5 linked regions of the Oryctolagus cuniculus genome follow. The protein of the gene in region 4 purifies or fractionates together with the protein of the main gene of each other region. This does not show direct contact. Links are inferred from orthologs where the notes say so. Each region holds a gene or a part of one and is shown on either strand. Other genes may lie near its edges. The genes, in order: ASF1B, ASF1A, CBX1, CHAF1A and SETDB1.

What was found.
Region 1: the proteins of CHAF1A (region 4) and ASF1B purify together in Homo sapiens (co-immunoprecipitation; 7 studies listed by BioGRID and IntAct, counting the BioPlex papers as one, with this or other methods). This does not show direct contact. The link is inferred for Oryctolagus cuniculus from reciprocal best matches to the Homo sapiens genes CHAF1A and ASF1B.
Region 2: the proteins of CHAF1A (region 4) and ASF1A purify together in Homo sapiens (affinity purification with western blotting; 3 studies listed by BioGRID and IntAct, with this or other methods). This does not show direct contact. The link is inferred for Oryctolagus cuniculus from reciprocal best matches to the Homo sapiens genes CHAF1A and ASF1A.
Region 3: the proteins of CHAF1A (region 4) and CBX1 purify together in Homo sapiens (affinity purification with mass spectrometry; 4 studies listed by BioGRID and IntAct, with this or other methods). This does not show direct contact. The link is inferred for Oryctolagus cuniculus from reciprocal best matches to the Homo sapiens genes CHAF1A and CBX1.
Region 5: the proteins of CHAF1A (region 4) and SETDB1 purify together in Homo sapiens (affinity purification with western blotting; 3 studies listed by BioGRID and IntAct, with this or other methods). This does not show direct contact. The link is inferred for Oryctolagus cuniculus from reciprocal best matches to the Homo sapiens genes CHAF1A and SETDB1.

Annotation. Positions count from the first base shown.
Region 1 is NC_091447.1:62,994,158-62,998,310, reverse strand, and holds the start of ASF1B (histone chaperone ASF1B), read left to right. Parts: upstream 1-1,351; 5' UTR 1,352-1,464; coding exon 1,465-1,573; intron 1,574-4,153. UniProt on the Homo sapiens protein: Histone chaperone that facilitates histone deposition and histone exchange and removal during nucleosome assembly and disassembly. Cooperates with chromatin assembly factor 1 (CAF-1) to promote replication-dependent chromatin assembly.
Region 2 is NC_091436.1:51,459,739-51,462,223, reverse strand, and holds the end of ASF1A (histone chaperone ASF1A), read left to right. Parts: intron 1-513; coding exon 514-690; intron 691-1,759; coding exon 1,760-1,972; downstream 1,973-2,485. UniProt on the Homo sapiens protein: Histone chaperone that facilitates histone deposition and histone exchange and removal during nucleosome assembly and disassembly.
Region 3 is NC_091448.1:24,381,015-24,385,263, reverse strand, and holds the start of CBX1 (chromobox protein homolog 1), read left to right. Parts: upstream 1-1,437; 5' UTR 1,438-1,649; intron 1,650-1,692; exon of another isoform or gene 1,693-1,939; intron 1,940-3,080; 5' UTR 3,081-3,251; intron 3,252-4,249. UniProt on the Homo sapiens protein: Component of heterochromatin. Recognizes and binds histone H3 tails methylated at 'Lys-9', leading to epigenetic repression. Interaction with lamin B receptor (LBR) can contribute to the association of the heterochromatin with the inner nuclear membrane.
Region 4 is NC_091447.1:59,780,497-59,784,498, forward strand, and holds the start of CHAF1A (chromatin assembly factor 1 subunit A), read left to right. Parts: upstream 1-1,194; 5' UTR 1,195-1,351; coding exon 1,352-1,403; intron 1,404-1,449; exon of another isoform or gene 1,450-1,749; intron 1,750-2,858; coding exon 2,859-2,909; intron 2,910-4,002. UniProt on the Homo sapiens protein: Acts as a component of the histone chaperone complex chromatin assembly factor 1 (CAF-1), which assembles histone octamers onto DNA during replication and repair.
Region 5 is NC_091438.1:47,127,617-47,131,129, reverse strand, and holds part of SETDB1 (histone-lysine N-methyltransferase SETDB1), read left to right. Parts: intron 1-1,396; coding exon 1,397-1,566; intron 1,567-2,440; coding exon 2,441-3,057; intron 3,058-3,513. UniProt on the Homo sapiens protein: Histone methyltransferase that specifically trimethylates 'Lys-9' of histone H3. H3 'Lys-9' trimethylation represents a specific tag for epigenetic transcriptional repression by recruiting HP1 (CBX1, CBX3 and/or CBX5) proteins to methylated histones.

The sequences.
Region 1 (4,153 bases), about 3.2 Mb from region 4:
TGCAACGCCTGGAAGTTGGGAGCTGGGAGCTTCCTCTGGGTCTCCCACGCGGGTGCAGGGGCCCAAGCACCTGGGCCATCTTCTCCTGCTTTCCCAGGCCACAGCAGGGAGCTGGATGGGAAGTGGGGCAGCCGGGACTCGAACCGGCGCCCATATAGGATGCCAGTGTTTCAGGTGGCGGCTTTACCCACTGCGCCACAGCGCCGGCCCCAGAGGGAGCACAAGGCCCTGCAGCAGGAGGGAGCCCGGGGGTGGGCAGGGGCAGGGCGGGGAGGGTGACAGGCGCGAGACGGGGCCTCGGGGCCCACTGCAGAGATCTCGGTTCCCCGCTAAGCAGGATACGCCTCTGGGGCTTGGCGCTGGGATCTGGGGTTCAGCGACAATCACGCAGCCAGCTCCTCTTCCTCCCAGCATCGGAGACGGAGTCCCCGGTACGGCCTTCCCCGGGGTCGGGAACGGACGGCGCAAAAAAAAAAAAAAAAAAAAAAAATTCACCAAGGTGAGAATAAATAAATGTTTAGTTAAACGCCTAGAAAACATCGTGCTAAGAACTCTGCTCGGGGTGGAATTCGGATGCACCATAACACATTTGGAAATACGATCGCCTAGGCCCTGGCCCCGCAGCCGTCCGGTCCCTGACTGGGCGGGAGCGGGACCCGAACCGCCACTCCCCAGGCCGGGACTCCGCGTCCGCTCACCGCAGACCCCCCAGGCCGCGCACGGCCTCAGCAGCCGGAGCCCCCGGCCCGAAACGCCCACCTGCACACACGCACCGGCATCCCCGCCGCGCCTCCTCCACCGCGCCGGCCCCCGACTTCCGCTCCTCTCCCGCGAATCCTCAGACACGCCTTCCTCTGCTCCCGCCCCCACAGCCACCTCAGCCAATTAGGTCTCCAAAAGCCTGCTTTATCCCCGCCCCACTCCTGCCTGCCAATCACGGCGGCCGCGAGTACCCGCCCTTCCCACGCTCTTAAGCGAGCGCCGCGCGCCACCGCTCGGCCGTTGGCGGTGCTGCTCCCTCAAGGATGCGTCTCTCGGAAAAGCTGCGAGAAGGGGCGGGCCCCGCCTGTGCGGGAACCCTCAGGATTGGCCGAGAGCCGGGCTCTGACTCCGCCCATCCCCGCCCCCGCCATCCGAGTCGGAGACGCTGGGGATTGGTTCCCCGCGGCCACCCCGCGAGAAGCCCACAGCTGGTCCCGCCTCCCTCGCGCGCGTGCGGAGAGGGAGCTCCGCGGATTGGTTTGAGGAGTCCGGGCGCGCGCCAGCGGCGCTCGCGGATTGGCTGACGGGGCGCTCGCGCCGCCGCGGAGCGTTTGCGGTGATTGGCTAGAGGGCGGAGCCGGCGATTTGAAGGCGGCGCGCGGACGCGGTGCGCGTTGCAGTCCGCGGCGAGAGGAGGCGGGAGCGGCCGCCGGTGACGCTGCCCCTCTGCCCGCTCCCCCGACCCCGGCTCCCGGCGACACGATGGCCAAGGTGTCCGTGCTGAACGTGTCGGTGCTGGAGAACCCGAGCCCTTTCCACAGCCCCTTCCGGTTCGAGATCAGCTTCGAGTGCAGTGAGGCCCTGGCGGACGGTGAGGCTGGACCCGTGCGGAGACCCCCACCCCAGCCCTGGGCCGACCCTGACCCCGACCTCCCCGTGGAGAGCCGCCCCGTGGCCAGGCCGAAGCCCCCCGGGGCCCCCTCCCTCCGTCCGCTTAGCCCCCCCCGCTCCCCCATCGCCCCCTCCCAAACCCCAGGACCCCCCTCTCTTGCAATGGCGCTCCTCCCAGGCACCGCTTCCTAATGATAGAGGCGCATCCACCGGCGGAGACCCCCACGCCCCCTGCCTCTTCCCCACCCCTGCCGCCCTCCTCGCCCCCGTGTCCGCCCCAGCCGTGCCCTGCCCAGTGTTTAAATGACCGCGTCCGGGGGTCATTGCGACCCCCGGGGTGGCGGTGGAGGGGCGTCCCGGCTCCCGAGGCTTCCCGGTCCGACCGTGGGCCTGGGTGGGCGGTGGGCGCGCCCCGGACCGGCTTCCCGCGGCTTCCCTATCCCGACGCCGTCCGGTGGGCGGTGGGCGCGCCCGGGGCCCGCGGCGGGGTGGTGGTCGTGGCGCACGGGAGGGCACAGCAGCCACCCGGAGCCCCGGGCCCTGCGCACGCCGGGGTCAGCCGGGGCCAAGGCCTGCGTGCACCCAGCGCTCAGCTCCAGGGCGGAGCCGGGGAGGCCGCTGGGTGGCAGGGGGGTGGCCCGCGGGGCGGCCGCCGCCTGTGGCTGACTGTGGAGTAAGCCGGCTGGAGGCTCTCTGGGACACGCAGGGCGGAAATAAAAGTGTAAGCTGGCGGGGGTTGAGACTCGCTTTAAAGGCCGGCAGGAGAGGCGAGGGGCCCCTCGTCTGAGTTCCCAGGTGACGCGGGTGGGGTGCCGTAGGCCTGCTTTAAAAGCAGGCGCTATCTGAGAAGTGGGTGCCTGCGACGCCCCGGGCCCTGCGGCCCAGGAGCCAAGCCCCCGCCTTGACCCCCTGCGCGTCCCGGGCGGGGGGCGGGGCGTCGCTGGGGCCGTGATGTCTGGGGACAGGAGCCTGGGCAACCCTGGTGTGGGGCGCCTCTGAGTTCCTTCTTCCTCTCCCAGCCCCCAGTCGGGGGCCCCCTGACTCCCAGGGGCCGCACGGAGTACATCAGGGGTGCGTGTGCTTGCGGGGAGCGGGGGAGCCCCTCAGGGAGCTGAAACAGCAGGCGCCCCGCGAGGCCAAGGCCACGGGCAGTACGGCTCGAAGACTGCGGCTCCGGACCGCCTGGTCACCGGATCGCAGCGCCGCTTCGGCTGGAGTCCTGGACGCGCAGCTTCCGACCCAGCTTCCTGCTGCTGCGCGCTGTTGTGCGCCCCTGCCGCCCACGCGGGAGACCCACGGGGAGTTCCAGGCGCCTGGCTGTGGCCTGGCCCACCTCCAGCTGTTGGCATTTGGGGAGTGGACCAGCGGGTAGAAGATCCTGCTCTTTCTGCCCCCCACCCCCCCATCGCCTGCCTTTGTCTCTCTCCTCTGTCACTCCCAGATAAATACAAATGGGAAACAGATTCTTCAACGACAATGATTTCTTGTTTAAATATTTGTTTCATTATTTATTTGAAAAGTAGAGTTACAGAGAGAGAGATAGGTCTTCTGTCCATTGGTTCACTCCCCAGATGGCTGCAACGGCTGGAGCTTCACAGATCCAAAGCCAGGAGCCAGGAGCTCCATCCAGGTCTCCCACTCAGGTGCCGGGGCCCAAGCACTTGGGCCATCTTCCACTGCTTTCCCAGGCCATAGCATAGAGCTGGATCGGAAGTGGAACAGCCGGGACTCGAACTTGCACCCATATGGGATGCCGGCACTGCAGACCCGGGCTTTAACCCACTGTGCCACAGCACCGGCCATCACTTTCTTAACGTGTGTTTAATCATAGCATTGGCTTTGCATTTGTTGTCATACGGAGTAGAGGTGTATCCTGTGCGGGGTTCAGCCTGTAAAATTGGGGATCAGAACAAAATGTAATTGACGTGCCTTTAATCGTGTTCAGAAGTTAGATAGACTGTGTGTATACAGTTATGTCCTGTATTTGGTAGGTATTTTTTTAAGAACTTATTTTATTTGAAAGGCAGAGCTACAGAGAGATCTTCCATCTGCTGGTTCACTCCCCAGATGACCACACGGCCAAGGTTGAGCCAGGCCAAAGCCAGGAGCTCCATCCAGGTCTCCCACGTGGGTGCAAGGGCCCAAACCCTTGGCCATCCGCTGCTGCTATCCCAGGTACATTAGCAGGGAGCCGGATCAGAAGTGGAGCAGCTGGAACTCAAACCAGTGCCCCTGTGGGATGCCAGTGGTGCAGGCAGTGCCTCAACCTGCTAGGCCACAGCACTGGCCCTTATGCGTTTTTATATTTTTTTTAATGGTTGATTTCTTCTACTTGAAAGGCACAGAGGCAGAGAGAAGGGAGTTCTTCCATCAGCATTTACTCAAAAGATAGAGTTACAGAGAGGGAGAGTGACAGAGAGAGATCTTCCATCTGCTGTTTCACTCCCCAAATGGCTGCAACGGCTGGAGCTGTGCTGATCTGAAACCAGGAGCCAGGAGCTTCTTCCTGGTCTCCCATGTGGGTGCAGGGGCCCAAGGACTTGGACCATCCTCCACTGCT
Region 2 (2,485 bases), on a different chromosome or scaffold from region 4:
ATTTGTGTTCAGTTTTATACTAAATTACTATTAGAATATTTGTGAGAGGTGGTTGTATAGGTACGAGAATATAAGTGTCCTGGGGAGAAAAGGAAAACTGGTATAAAAAACATTTGTTGCCAACTGGTTGTGTGGAAATAATTTAGTATTTACTAATTTAGGTCTGAAAATTATAACTGGAAAAAGTTAAAACCAATAGCACTATTGATTAAATTGTTTAAGTATTTTATAAAAAGTTATAATGAATTTGCATAATTCCTCATGAACCAACACACACAGTAACCAGAATTATTTCCCTCTGGAAGTTTAATGAAGCTACTTGAGGATACTGTGGAGAAACATGAGCTATATATCTACCTTTAGGCCAATCCCAAATGTAAGCATTTGTCTTCCCAATGTGATTTCCAAGTTTTTCTTGTTCCATGTTCAACTGAAAGTGCTCAGGGTAACTACAACTCCAATCTCGCCTGCCATTAACAGCCTTTTGTGTATGTTTCTTTTAAATTATTCCAGGCAGATGCACCTAATCCAGGACTCATTCCAGATGCTGATGCAGTAGGCGTAACAGTTGTGCTAATTACTTGTACCTATCGAGGTCAAGAATTTATTAGAGTTGGCTACTATGTAAATAATGAATATACTGAGACAGAATTAAGGGAAAATCCGCCAGTAAAACCAGACTTTTCTAAGGTAATGTCTTACTATTCCTTTTTAATTACTGTTACTATACAATTTTTTAGGCAGTTTGAGACAAAGTAAATTTGATGTCTTTGGGCCAGCTGGGCAAACTAATCATTGTTCCCTTACCATGGGTGACCTCAAACCCTTTCTCTATGCAAGTCATTAAGTATCTCTGATAAGAAATGGGCACTTGTTTACTGCTTCTTATATGGCATTTCCCATAGATCATGTTCACTTCAGCTTTTATGACATGGAAGTCTGTGTTTGTGTCTGCTTTTCATATAAACAGTTATCTATGCTTATATCAAAGTACCTATATGCTTTAGTTTTATTCTGTAGGAACAGCAGATAAAGTAAAGGTCTTAAATATTTCAGGTGATAGCAAATAGCTTAAACACTGAGAAGCTGAAATCTGTGATTCATTATTCTCAAGGATACTTAGTACCTTTATGGTTTTTCATTGGGAACTGTAACAGTTTACTAACTGGTGATTTTGAGAGGGTGCAAATCAAGTGAAGTTGAATAGGGCCCTCTGTCTGCCAGGCAATACAAGGAAAGTCACATGGCAGTAGAATAAAGTTCAACTTTCTGGTAATAAGGCTAGAATGTTTTTCATCCTGGCCAATCCTTTCATAGATCAAATTTATTGGTTATCTGTTTGGTAACTTGTACAACAGAAAAGAGAAGAAACTAGACTATTGTTTCCAAAAATGAACCATAATATTTAAAAGGTAGGAAATCACTAATAGCAAGAAGATGTATTTGGGAGAAATTTTCTTTCCCTTCTTAGGAAATAGAAGTACAAGAGTAGAAGAATAGATATTTCATAGTATAGTAAAAGATCTGAATGAATTCCCTCAGATTCTCCATATCTTGTTCCTATTAAGCCAAAATAATTGCTATGGTCCTAGTCCTTGTTTATTAGTTATGCTAAAGTGCTTTATTTGTCCTATACTTCTGTATATGAACGTAACCCTTCAGGAGTGCTAACATAAAGGACCCATTTCTTTAAGTATCTATTTGCATAGGGTGATTAAACTTTGGTAATGTTTACCATTTATATATTTCCTTCTTCTAGCTTCAAAGGAACATTTTGGCATCTAATCCCAGGGTCACAAGATTCCACATTAATTGGGAAGACAACACAGAAAAACTGGAAGATGCAGAGAGCAGTAATCCAAATCTACAGTCACTTCTGTCAACAGATGCATTACCTTCTGCCTCAAAGGGATGGTCCACGTCAGAAAACTCACTAAATGTCATGTTAGAATCCCACATGGACTGCATGTGACCACCTGCCATCCCTTTAGTACAAATTAAGCTATTAAAAATACACAGAACTATTTCCCTGAAATTCCGTAAGTACATAGTCAAGACAAAATGTGAAGAATTTGTTTAAAAACATCCTGTAGAAAGTTTATAAGAAAACCAGTATTTGAGCAAATTGTGGAATATAAATACAACTATTTTTAAGTAATTTTTTCTCTAATGTGTTATTTTATTTGTTCTGAAACTAATTTGATTAAAGCATATATATTATTTTTCTTCTCCTTTATATGTAATTAAAGCACTTATAAAGAAAAATATAAATCCTTAGACCAGGTTGTGAAGATGTCTTAGCCTCTCGGACAGTAATCTTTGGAACATTATTTTTTCTGGCCTTTGAAAAAAGAAAGTTCACTTCAACTAAGATGTTTCTTCCTGTTAAAACATAAAGTGTGGTTTTAATTTAAGGGGAAACTTTCCATTCCTTTTTGGCATGACTTTAAAAGGGGGATTGAAATGAATTATATGCTACCAAGGA
Region 3 (4,249 bases), on a different chromosome or scaffold from region 4:
ATTTGTTATGCAGTTGCAGAGAGAGAGGGAAATCTTCCATCTGCTGGTTCACTCCCCAGATGACCCCAACCCAGGGCTGGGTCAGCCTGAGCAGCCAGGAGCCGGGAGTTTCTTCCGGGGCCATCTTCTGCGACTTTCCCAGGCAGGCACATTAGCGGGAAGCTGGGTTGTAAGTGGGGCAGCCTGGACTCCAACCAGAGCCCACATGGGATAAAGGCTTCCATCGAAGGCTGCAGCTTAATTTACTAAACCACGACTTCGCCCTCAGATGGGGATCTCTGTTGTCTCCCTCTCTCCTTTACTCTGCCTTTTTTTTTTTTTTTTTTTTTTGACAGGCAGGGTTAGAGAGACAGAGAGAAAAGTCTTCCTTTCGGTTGGTTCACTGCCCAAATGGCCACTACGGGAAACCAGGAGCCAGGTGCTTCCTCCTGGTCTCCCATGGGGTGCAGGGTCCAAGCACCTGGGCCATCCTCCACTGCCTTCCCTGGCCACAGCAGAGAGCTGGACTGGAAGAGGAGCAACTGGGACAGAATCCGGCGCCCCAACCGGGACTAGAACCAGGAGTGCCGGCGCCGCAGGCAGAGGATTTGCCAAGTTAGCCGCGGTGCCGGCTTACTCTGCCTTTCAAATAAATTATATTTTAATAAAAAGGTCAGTATTAAAACTGTATGTTGGGGCCGGCGCCGTGGCTCACTAGGCTAATCCTCCTCCTTGCGGTGCCGGCACACCGGGTTCTAGTCCCGGTTGGGGCGCCGGATTCTGTCCCGGTTGCCCCTCTTCCAGGCCGGCTCTCTGCTGTGGCCAGGGAGTGCAGTGGAGGATGGCCCAAGTGCTTGGGCCCTGCACCCCATGGGAGACCAGGAGAAGTACCTGGCTACTGCCATCAGTTCAGCGTGGTGCGCCGGCCGCGGCGGCCACTGGAGGGTGAACCAACGGCAAAGGAAGACCTTTCTCTCTCTCTCTCTCTCATTGTCCACTCTGCCTGTCAAAAAAATTTAAAAAATAGAAAAAAAAAAAAAAAACCCTGTATGTTGGCTCAACCAATTAAGGGGAGGAATTCAGGAAGTCACGACGAATGGGAAGTAATCATTGAGCTGCACAGATTTGAGGAGGCAGAGATCGGAGATTACACAGGTTGAAAAATTTGAGAGAGATCTGAAAAAACTGGCAATGGATTTAAGATTCAGAAATTTCGAGGCTGTGACTCGTAGAACTGTGCATAAGTGGCTGATTTTTGAGACCTAGCACTAAGGATTTGCTGCCTGCAGCGTTCTAAAATGGGGTCTCTCTGCCTTTGCAGTTTAAAAACTAAAATTCCCGCACAGCCACGCAAGCCGGGCGCGCGGAGCGGGACTCGCACAGCCCTTCGGGACTTGTAGTCTTGGACGGGCACCGAGTCCCATGGTGCCTTACGGCGGGTCGTCGCGCCTGCGCGGTGCAGACGGCGGGCAGCGCAGAGTGCGAGGCTCTTTTGTTCGGCTGAGGGGAGGGCCGTTGGCCGGGGCCTGCGGTACGCCGCTTCAGCGAGGGGCTTGACTGCAGCCACCCGGCTTGTTGCTTTCTGGGCGCCACTCCCCCCCGGCCGGCCCGACGCGACGCGCCAGTAGCGCGACTCCGATTCTTCTCGAGCTCTTGGGCGCTGCTTTGAGGTAAAAAGCCCGCTAGAGGCGGGGGGAGGGGGCGCGGCGGCGGCGGCGGCGGCGGCGGCGGCGGCGGGAGCCCGGGTCAGGGGCCGCGTTGTCGTGGCGGTTGGGAGCGGGGAGCGCGCTCCGGTCCGGCGCCCTGTTCGTGTGTTCCCGCGCGGAACGCTGTGTTTGGCGCGGAGAGGCCGAACGCCCGCTGCGTGAAAGATGGAGAGGGCGGGGCAGTGAATCCCGAGCGAGAGACTGGAGAGGTTCGCGGTGGGCCGAGCGCTTGAGGGGCGCTTTTCCGGGCCTGGGTGGGTTGAGACAATGCGTCTGCGGGTTTGGACTGGAGAAGGGAAAACTTTGGGCGACTGAGGAGAGGTCGTGGTTGGTGTTTGGATTAAGCGTCGGGCGGGGAGGAGGGGACGCCTGCGGGACCTCGGGGTTTGCAAATGTAACCTGAGGATATTGGGCTGGGCGACGGCTGCCGGAGGAATTTGGCTTGCGGAGCTACGGCGAAGTAACTTGGCGTACATGGGACCAGGGGACCGGGCAGCCCAGGGTGTGCTAATGGAGGAAGATTCGTGGAATCCATTGGGAGAGAGATCCCAGAATTGGGAAAGACGGGTGCTTGCCGGGAAGCGGGGCGGGGGGAGCTGTTGGGGTAAGCAGGGCGACGTCCTGCGAATATTTCTGGAAAGTGTGGAAGAGAAAAGGGGCAAACTGGCCGCCCTTGTCTCCTGCTGGGGCGTTGCAGTGCGGGCCCGTGAGAGTAACGGGTGCGGAAAGCATGCAGCACTTGGCCTGCTTCGCCGTCCCAGCGTCTCTGCTACTTCCCCGAGTTTGTGTTTGGGATTGGTGCTGGTCTCACAGAGCGGGAGAATGGCAGGAATGCGTGGAGATGTTAACAGTAAGGAATGGAGTGAGGTCGGGAGAGAACTTGTGAGATGGGGTGGGAGAATCATTGTGGGAGGACATTTTTTCCCCCTTAGGGTCGGGTCGTGTGTTTTTAGCCAGCCTTTCTTTGTTGGAAATTCTGAATACAAAGTGAGCAGTACTTTACCCCTTTTCCAAAGCCACATGTGAGGGCTTCGTGGATTGTTGTTCTGTTTAGGCATGTATTGGCTTAACCCAGTTGAGGTGGAATTTTTGTTTTTTTAAGATTTATTTATTTTGAAAGAGATACAGAGTGAAAAGGAAGAGACAGAGAAAAAGAGATCTTCCATCCAAGTGGAATTTTTCTTATAATTTTTAAAAAAGATTTATTTATTGAAATGCAGAATTACAAGTAGGTAGAGCCAGAGAGAGGGAGACAGAGGTCTTCCATCCGTTGGTTCACTCCCTGAATGGCCGCAACGGGCCGAGCTGCGCAGGTCCAGAGCCAGGAGCTTCTTCCGGGTCTCCCACGTATGTGCAGGGGCCAAGGGCTTGGACCATCTAATGCTGCTTTCCCAGGCCATAGCAGAGAGCTGGATCGGAAGTGGAGCAGCCGGGACTCGAACCGAACCGGTGCCTGGATGGGAAGCCATCGCTGCAGGCCTCAGCTTTACCCTCTACACCACAACGCTGGGCCCCAAGATGGAGTATTTTTTAAAAGATAAGTTATACTAGAACCTGTGGCAAGAGGTAAGCTATCTCCTCTGTTGTGTCAAGAATTAATGTCAACAGTTTGAAATAGTTCTGAAAGGTCCACAGTTTTTGGAATTGATTTCAAGAACACAGAGGAAATTAGTGCCTAGTACCTGTGTTCCTCCCTAGATACCTCACAGGCGTTTACATGAAAGTATGATTGAAAAGCACCGGTGTTGGAGCTGGTACACCTTAATGGAGCTTCTGGGCAATTGGAGGATCTTCAGTCATTTCCAGTTTTCCCTGTGGCGATATTTTTCTTCTATGACTGCTGTCTTAAATCGCCTTTCATTAAAAATGTAAATATTGTGTAGCCTACTTGCTTCTTTATTAGAGGCGACCAAGTAAGGGTACCCTAGCCTTCTACTTTTTTTTTTAAATACAGAAATTAAAGGAAGCAATGTTGTTTTTTCTTTCCCCATTTTAGGGACTAGGAAAATGTTTTTTTAAAGTGCTTTAAAGCGGCAGCGCTGTGGTGTAGTAGGCTAAGCCTCTGCCTGCGGTGCCAGCGTCCCATATGGGTGCCAGTTCGTGTCCCAGCTGTTCTGCTTATGGCCTGGGAAAGTGGTGGAAGATCGCTCAAGTGCTTGGGCCCATGCATGTGGGAGACTCAGAGGAAGCTCCTGGCTTCAGATCGGCCCAGCTCCGGTGGTTGTGGCCATTTGGGGAGTGCACCAGCGTATGCAAGACCTTCTCCCCCCGTAATTCTACCTCTCAAATAAGTAAATTAAAAAAAATCTTTAAAAAATAAGTGCTTTTAAAAGAGCGCTGGTTACTTTTTGTTATCTTCTAGTAGTTTCTCCAGCCAAGTTTCTTTTTTTCACACTGTATCTGTCATGATATAACAGATTTTGTTTTAAAGGCAAGTGACTATATTTGTAGTCTGCCATAAGATGGGGCTATACCTCTTGTTCATCCTGTGTCTGGTACATAGTATGCCATTCAGATTGTTGATAGAAGAATGAATAGGGCTTTGAAATCCTTTCTGAGAACTT
Region 4 (4,002 bases):
GCTCCACAGCCAGGCCGACCCCCGACCAGTGCGCTGGGAGGGCCCGCGTCCGAGAGCCCCGCAACCCACGTGGGCGTTCCGGACTCCGAGCTCGGGCCGGCCCAGCCTCGGGCCACTGTGGGCCTCTGGGGAGGGTGGAAGGTCTCCCGCCCCCCACCCCCGGCCTTTCAAATCCCTCATTTAAAAAAGTAAACCCTAGCATCGCGCTGGGGCCCAGCGGGTAAAGCCGCCACCTGCAGGGCCACATCGCATATGCACGCCGGTTCGAGTCCCGGCTGCTCCACTTCCGGTCCAGCTCTCTACTGTGGCCTGGGAGAGCAGTGGACGATGGCCCGAGTGCTGGGAGCCCTGCACCTGCGTGGGAGACCCGGATGGAGCTCCTGGCTCCTGGCTTTGGATCGGGCCGGCTCTGGCCATGGTGGCCATCTGGGGAGTGACCCAGCGGAAGGAAGACCTCTCTCTCTCAATCTCTCTCTCCCTTTCAATACATAAATAAATCTCTTTAAAAGGAAGAAAGCAAGTCGGTGCCTCTGTCCAGACTCCGCCGCGGGTGTGTCCGGCTCTGCACCTGCCCGGCCCGCCCAGCGTCGATATTTCTGGTTCGCAGATGTACTTTATCCAGCGTTTAGGCATCCGCCATCGGACGGGGCCCGGGGGCTCGAGGGTCTGCAAATGCACGTTCTCACGCAGCGGCCGCAGCGGGCACGGCCCCGCGGGAGCCGAGCGGACAGGGCCGGGCGTGGACACGGGGCCGGGGCGCTGGGGCCGGCGCAGCGCAGGGACCCCGGGACCCCTGATAACTCATACGGCCCACGGCTGTTGCTAGGCTCAGCCCAGCCCCGAGTGAGGAAAACGCCACACTTCAGAATTCTCGCCAAACTCCGGTTTGCAAGTTGTCACCGGCGCCCTACGTCACACGTTCCCGTGACGTTAGAGGCTGGCCCGCCCTCCCGCAGACCTATCCCACGCGCTCCGCCAATCGCAACGCCGGGCTCGCCGCTTGACGTCTCTCGCCCCCAATCGCAGCGCGTCCCGTCGCAGCCAATCGCAGGCCGCCGCTGGACAGCCCCTCCCCCCGGCCCCGCGATCAATGGGGGAACCTGTGGGAGGACTGGAAGCCGCGGCTCTCGCGAGGATGCTCGCGGCGGTCCTCGCTTCCCGAGGCGGGCAGTCACGTGACGCCGTCTCGGCCAATCGGCGTGAGGGCTGCGGGGGTCGCCGCGGTTCCCGCCAAATACGAGCGCAGCGGCCGCGGCAGCAGCGGCGCGGGCGGGAGGGCGAGAAGCAGCGGCCGCCGGAGCGGAGCCCGCGCCTCCGCCGCCTGAGGGGAGCCCGAGCCGCCGCGGCGGCGATGCTGGAGGAGCCGGAGTGCGGGGCGCCGGGCGCCAGGGCCGCGGCCGGAGGTCGGTGCGGGCCCGCGCGGCGGCGGCGGCGGCGGGGGGGCGCGGCGCGCGCGGCCCGCGCTGGCCGGGACGGCGGTTGGCGACGGGCCTCCCGACGGCCGGCCTGCCTCGGCGGCCCTGGAGCCTCGGGATCGCGGGCAACGGCCTTGCGGCGCCGACGTTCTTGTCGCGGCCGCGACCGCGTTCATTCCCCCCCCCCCGGGGGGCGCTTTGGGGTCGGTCTGTCCGTGCGGGGCCCTCGGGGGCGGCCAGGACGGGCGTCCGAGGCCCACGGAGGCCCCCAGAGCCGGCTTTGCAGGTTCCCGCGGGCCTTGGCGCCCGCTGGGCAGCTCGGCGCCTGCAGCGGGTGGGGAAACTGAGGCAGGAGGCCGCCCGGGCCAGTGCGGGGCGCCGGGGGGGGGGCAAGCCCAGGTCCGAGGCCTGGATGGTGGCGATCGTTAGGGGGCTGGGCCCCCGGGTTTCTGCCCCTGCCGGTGACAATAGGAGTCTTTCTGGCCTGCCTGGGGTCCCCCAAAAACCGTCAGGGGGTGGTCGAGAGCCGTGTGTCTCCCCACCGGACGCCTGCGCTCGGGGCTCAGCAGGTGCCCAGGACCTGCTCGGGTGGCCGCAGCAGCCTTGTCTGACCCGAGGTGTCTGAGCCCGTGGGGAGGTGGAGCAGCATCCCTGCCCCCCACCCCACCCCTGCGACGTGTCCCCCGCGGCTGTGCGGCGGGGCGACCTCCCAGCCCCCTCCCTGCTTGGGGGCCCTTGCATTGAGGCTAGCAGGCCTCGGATGTTCCAGGCCCGCGGCTGAAGGAGGGAGGACGGGCTGGCTGGGCGCGGTGGCCAAGCCCGGGTGCTGTGCACGGCTGGAAAAGGAAGGGGTTCGCAGGCCGCCCTGTCCGGTCCCCAAGTGCCCACGGTGGCCGGAGCCTGGGGCCAGGAGTGCAGCCCGGGTTCCCCGTGTGGGCGGCGGGGAGCGGGGGGCTCAGCCTGGCACTGGCCGGCGACTGTGCCCTGCCCCTGTCACTCCCCAAGCCCGGGCAGTGGCCACAGGCGGCTTTTGGGGGGCCCTGGCCTGACCCGCTCCGGGCAGCTCTCCCAGAATTCTGCGGGCGATCCCTGCGTGCCGGCTCCCTTGGCAGGCGGCGGAGCTGCTCTCCGGCTGGTACCCCGGGCTGCGTGGCATCCGATCCCGAGGTCGCGGCTGGACAGACCAGCGGCCAGCCGGGCACGGCGGGGGCGGCAGGGGCGGCGGGGTCGTGTTCCTGGTGCTGTGCTCACGCACGGCCAGTGGCTGCAGCCACAGCGAGGAGGAGGGCCCCGCTGTCCCCCAGCCGCCCCGCACGGGGAGCTCCCTGTCCCGGCTCGGGCCTGGCCAGCTCGGGCTGTGGTGGGCTGTCTCTGGGTGTGGCCGGTGTCCCCTGGCTGTAGCTAACGGCTCTTCCTCTGACACATTTTTCTTCTTCTTCGCAGCCATGGATTGCAAAGGCAGAGCCGCCTTCCCGGTTAAGAAGTTAATACAAGGTAACTCTCCGGGCTGGGCTGGGGCGGGGGCGGGGCTTCGCCGGCTCCTGGGGGTCTGGGGGGGGTAAACAGTTGCGTCTTTGCAGATACAGTGGGGGTTCCCTGGCCGGCCGCGAGGGAGGCCGTCCGTGCTCCGTGCACACCGCACGCCCACCTCGTCGCCCGTGGCAGGGAGCGGCCTCTGCGCCTCTCCCCTCGCGGCTGTGCGTCCGCGCTCCGAGCCTGTGTGGGAGTTGGGAGCCTTTCGGGGTTGAGCTCCCCAGGTCGGGTGCGTGGACAGTGGGGTCTCCCGTCCTCGGGCGGTTGGGAGCGGGTGACGGGCGTAGACACGTCTCCAATGCCAGGACAACCAGGCGTCCCCTGGGTCTCAGGACCGCCCCGGCCGAGAGCCGCTGTGGTGTAGGGAGAGACGTCCCCACTCGTGTCCGGGGCAAGGCCGGAAGCGCGTCCACCTGCAGGCCAGGGGGCGCGGCTGGGTTGTGTGCACAAACGGGGGGTCCCGGGTGTGGCTTTGTTTTTGTTTTGTTGTTTTTAAGTTAGGTTTAATTACTTGAAAGGCCCAGTTACAGAGAGGAGGAGAGAGAGGTCTTCCATCCGCTGGTTCACTCCTCAAACGGGCAAAGGCTGGGGCCGGGCCAGGCTGTGCCGGGAGCTGCATCCGGGTCTCCCACGTGGGTGCAGGGCCCAGCGCTCAGCCCCTCGGCTGCTGCTCTCCGGGGTGCTTGGCGGGAGCAGCCGGGACTCGGGCCAGCGCTCCCAGGGGTGGCCGGTGCCGCAAACACAGCCGCTGGCTGTTGGGTTTAAGACTTGGCTGTTACCAGGTTTCCGACCTCCTGTGACAGTGACAGGTGTTGGTGGCAGTGGGGTTGAGAGTGACAGCGGGAGGACTACGAGCGAGCTGCGGACGCCGGCCTCCTTGTTTTAAAAGCCAGTCTAGGCCGGCGCCGCAGCTCACTAGGCTAATCCTCCGTCTGCGGCGCCGGCACACCGGGTTCTAGTCCTGGTCGGGGCGCCGGATTCTGTCCCGGTTGCCCCTCTTCCAGGCCAGCTCTCTGCTGTGGCCCGGGAGTGCAGTGGAGGATGGCCCAGGTGC
Region 5 (3,513 bases), on a different chromosome or scaffold from region 4:
GGGAGACCAGGAGAAACACCTGGCTCCTGCCTTCAGATCAGCACGGTGCGCCAGCCGCAGTGGCCATTGGAGGGTGACCCAACGGTAAAGGAAGACCTTTCTCTCTGTCACTCTCTCACTGTCCACTCTGCCTGTCAAAAAAAAAAAAAAAAAAAAAAAGTAATTAGACCTGAGTTCAGGTTCTGGTCTTCCACTTTGGAGCTAATCCTGTTATCAGCTATAAATAGGAGATATTAATACTGACACCCACACTCTATCCCCAAAGGGTTTTAAATGACCTAACAGACTCTTTCTTTATCTGGTGCTGGTTAACACAGTATGTTTAGTCTGAAAATCCATTGACTATGAACTTTTCTGTATATTTTTCTTATGTATATTATACTTTGAAAATCTTCTTTAAAAACTTTTAAAAAATACCATTATAGCACTGCTTTGAAGATAGATAGAATAAGAGAGTGTAAATTATGCAATTTACATAGCAACAAAACAAAGTGTATGTTCAGTAAGTAGAACTGCTCTTACTGTCTTTATCCAGAAGGATGTGACTAATGTCATTAGCCAAGAAATTGTTTTATTATCCTCTTCCCAAAAGTAAATGTCTCCCTGCAATTTATACCAAGAAGTATAATCCTAACAGTGAGCAAAGCAAATCAAGCAGAAGCATTGGTACCCGTAACATTTCCAGTCTTATCAGCATAGCTGTTTTCTTCCTTTAATGTTCATATTTGCTAGATCCCTCTGATTAACTTTAATAGTTTGTTTTAAAAGTAATTAAGTTGTTAAATTCTTCAACTGATTAATTCCTTTAAGGTAGAGATTATGACCTCTTTGATTATTCCCAGTGTCTAGCACAACTATTATTATTTAATAAGTGTTTACTGAATGATATGATGAAAACCAACTTTACCAAAGAAAAGTCCCCATAAACATCCATACCACCTTCTCTTTTCTCTTTAGACATTATATGTGTGTGTGTATAATATATATATATTGATATATATATATATATATAAAATCAGTATATCAGCCTCTGCTTTTCTTACGTATCTTTATGCATCTTTTTTCTGAAAATTGACGGACTCTATATACTTATTTTAGTGGCTCTGTAATCTGTATTCACGTCATGGTTTTCTTAGCCTCTTTCCAGGTGTTAGGAATTCTGGCATTCACTATTAGAACACTGCTATAAACATCGTTAATTCCCTTCTAAGTTATTTCTGTGAGCTATATTCCCAAATAAATGAAACAGCATAGACAGTTCAGTAAATCCACTCAGATCATTACCTAATTTTTAATCTTTACCCAGGACACATTGTAAGTAATGATAGCTTAAGAATTATAACTGTTTTGTGCGTTTCTATTGCTCATCTCATGGTTGATCTTTCTAATCTCCCAGGGTATATGAGTGTAACAAACGCTGCAAATGTGACCCAAACATGTGCACAAACCGGTTGGTGCAGCATGGACTACAGGTTCGCCTACAGCTATTCAAGACACAGAACAAGGGCTGGGGTATCCGCTGCTTGGATGACATTGCCAAAGGCTCTTTTGTTTGTATTTATGCAGGTTGGTGATGGATATAAAGGTTGTTTCCTGGGTCTGGGATGTGGTGGGGAAATGAACCAGATGCAAGTTGAGCTTACGAATAATGTGCTGGACATGTGAACTGAGAGAGAGAGGAGCCAGGGCTCGCTTCTGTAGAGAACCTGTGGAGGTTCACAGAGAGGGACACAGGGCTTTGGAAAGACAGAAATAAAAAAGGGGTAATGTTTTAGACGTGATGATGTTCCAGGGGAGAGACATGATTGCAGAGTCCAATGTATTGTCCTCCCACGTTTCTCCACCCAAAGATTTTTTTTTTTAGCATGGCTGAGAACTGTTGTTAAAGAGGAGGAAATGGGCCGGCGCCGCGGCTCACTAGGCTAATCCTCCGCCTAGCAGCGCTGGCACACCGGGTTCTAGTCCCGGTCGGGGCGCCGGATTCTGTCCCGGTTGCCCCTCTTCCAGGCCAGCTTTCTGCTGTGGCCAGGGAGTGCAGTGGAGGATGGCCCAGGTGCTTGGGCCCTGCACCCCATGGGAGACCAGGAGAAGCTCCTGGCTCCTGCCATCGGATCAGCGCGGTGCGCCGGCCGCAGCATGCCAGCCGCGGCGGCCATTGGAGGGTGAACCAACGGCAAAGGAAGACCTTTCTCTCTGTCTCTCTCTCACTGTCCACTCTGCCTGTCAAAAAATAAAAATAAAAAAAAGAAGAGGAGGAAATGGGAGGACAGAGAGGACAAGATTAAAGCTACAGTAAAGGAGGTATCATCGAAGAGAGACACAAGAGACCAAAATGTAGGCATTTTACCTCTGTGCTGGAGCACTGGGTGTGGGTGGATGGACACTTAATCTTTCCAAAAGGGCCCCATAACCCTAGAAAGCCTTTAATTCTCTTCCTCAGGCAAGATCCTGACAGATGACTTTGCAGACAAGGAAGGCTTGGAAATGGGTGATGAATACTTTGCAAATCTGGACCATATCGAGAGCGTGGAGAACTTCAAGGAAGGATATGAGAGTGATGCCCCCTGTTCCTCTGACAGCAGTGGTGTAGACTTAAAGGACCAGGAAGATGGTAACAGTGGTACAGAGGATGCTGAGGAGTCCAATGATGATAGCTCAGATGACAACTTCTGTAAGGATGAGGACTTCAGCACCAGCTCAGTGTGGCGCAGCTATGCTACCCGGAGGCAGACCCGAGGCCAGAAGGAAAATGGACTGTCTGAGATGGCTGCCAAAGACTCCCGTCCCCCAGACCTTGGGCCACCACATATGCCTGTCCCTCCCTCAGTCCCTGTAGGTGTCTGCAACCCACCTTCCTCCGAGGAGACACCCAAGAACAAGGTGGCCTCGTGGCTGAGCTGCAATAGTATCAGTGACGGTGCTTTTGACTCTGATAGCCGCTCCTCCTTCAAGACTGGTGAAGGTAGCGCTGGGGGAGGCCGAGGGGAAGCTGAGAAAGCCACCGCCTCGGCACTGGGCATCAAGGACGAGGGGGACGTCAAGCAGACCAAGAAGGAGGTAAGCAGTAGCTGTTAGTGTTGATGTTAGTAACCTAACTTACTTGACGGGTATTTCTTTGGAAACCTATTTCCCCCTTTACTCAGCACATTTCTAGAATGTGTTTAAAGAGGCCGGCGGTGCCAGCACTCCGGGTTCTGGTCCCGGTTGCTCCTTCCAGTCCAGCTCTCTGCTGTGGCCCGGGAGTGCAGTGGAGGATGAACCAGGTGCTTGGGCCCTGCACCCGTGTGGGAGACCAGGAGGAAGCACCTGACTCCTGGCTTCCGGTCGGTGCAGCACACCAGCCGTGGCAGCCATTTGGGGGGTGAACCAAAGGAAAAGGAAGACCTTTCTCTGTCTCTCTCTCTCTCACTGTCTAACTCTGCCTGTCCAAAAAAAAAAAAAAAAAAAAAAAAAAAAGTTTAAAGAACCAAATTCTTTTAGGATTTACTTGGTTGGGGATCAGAGGATATATGA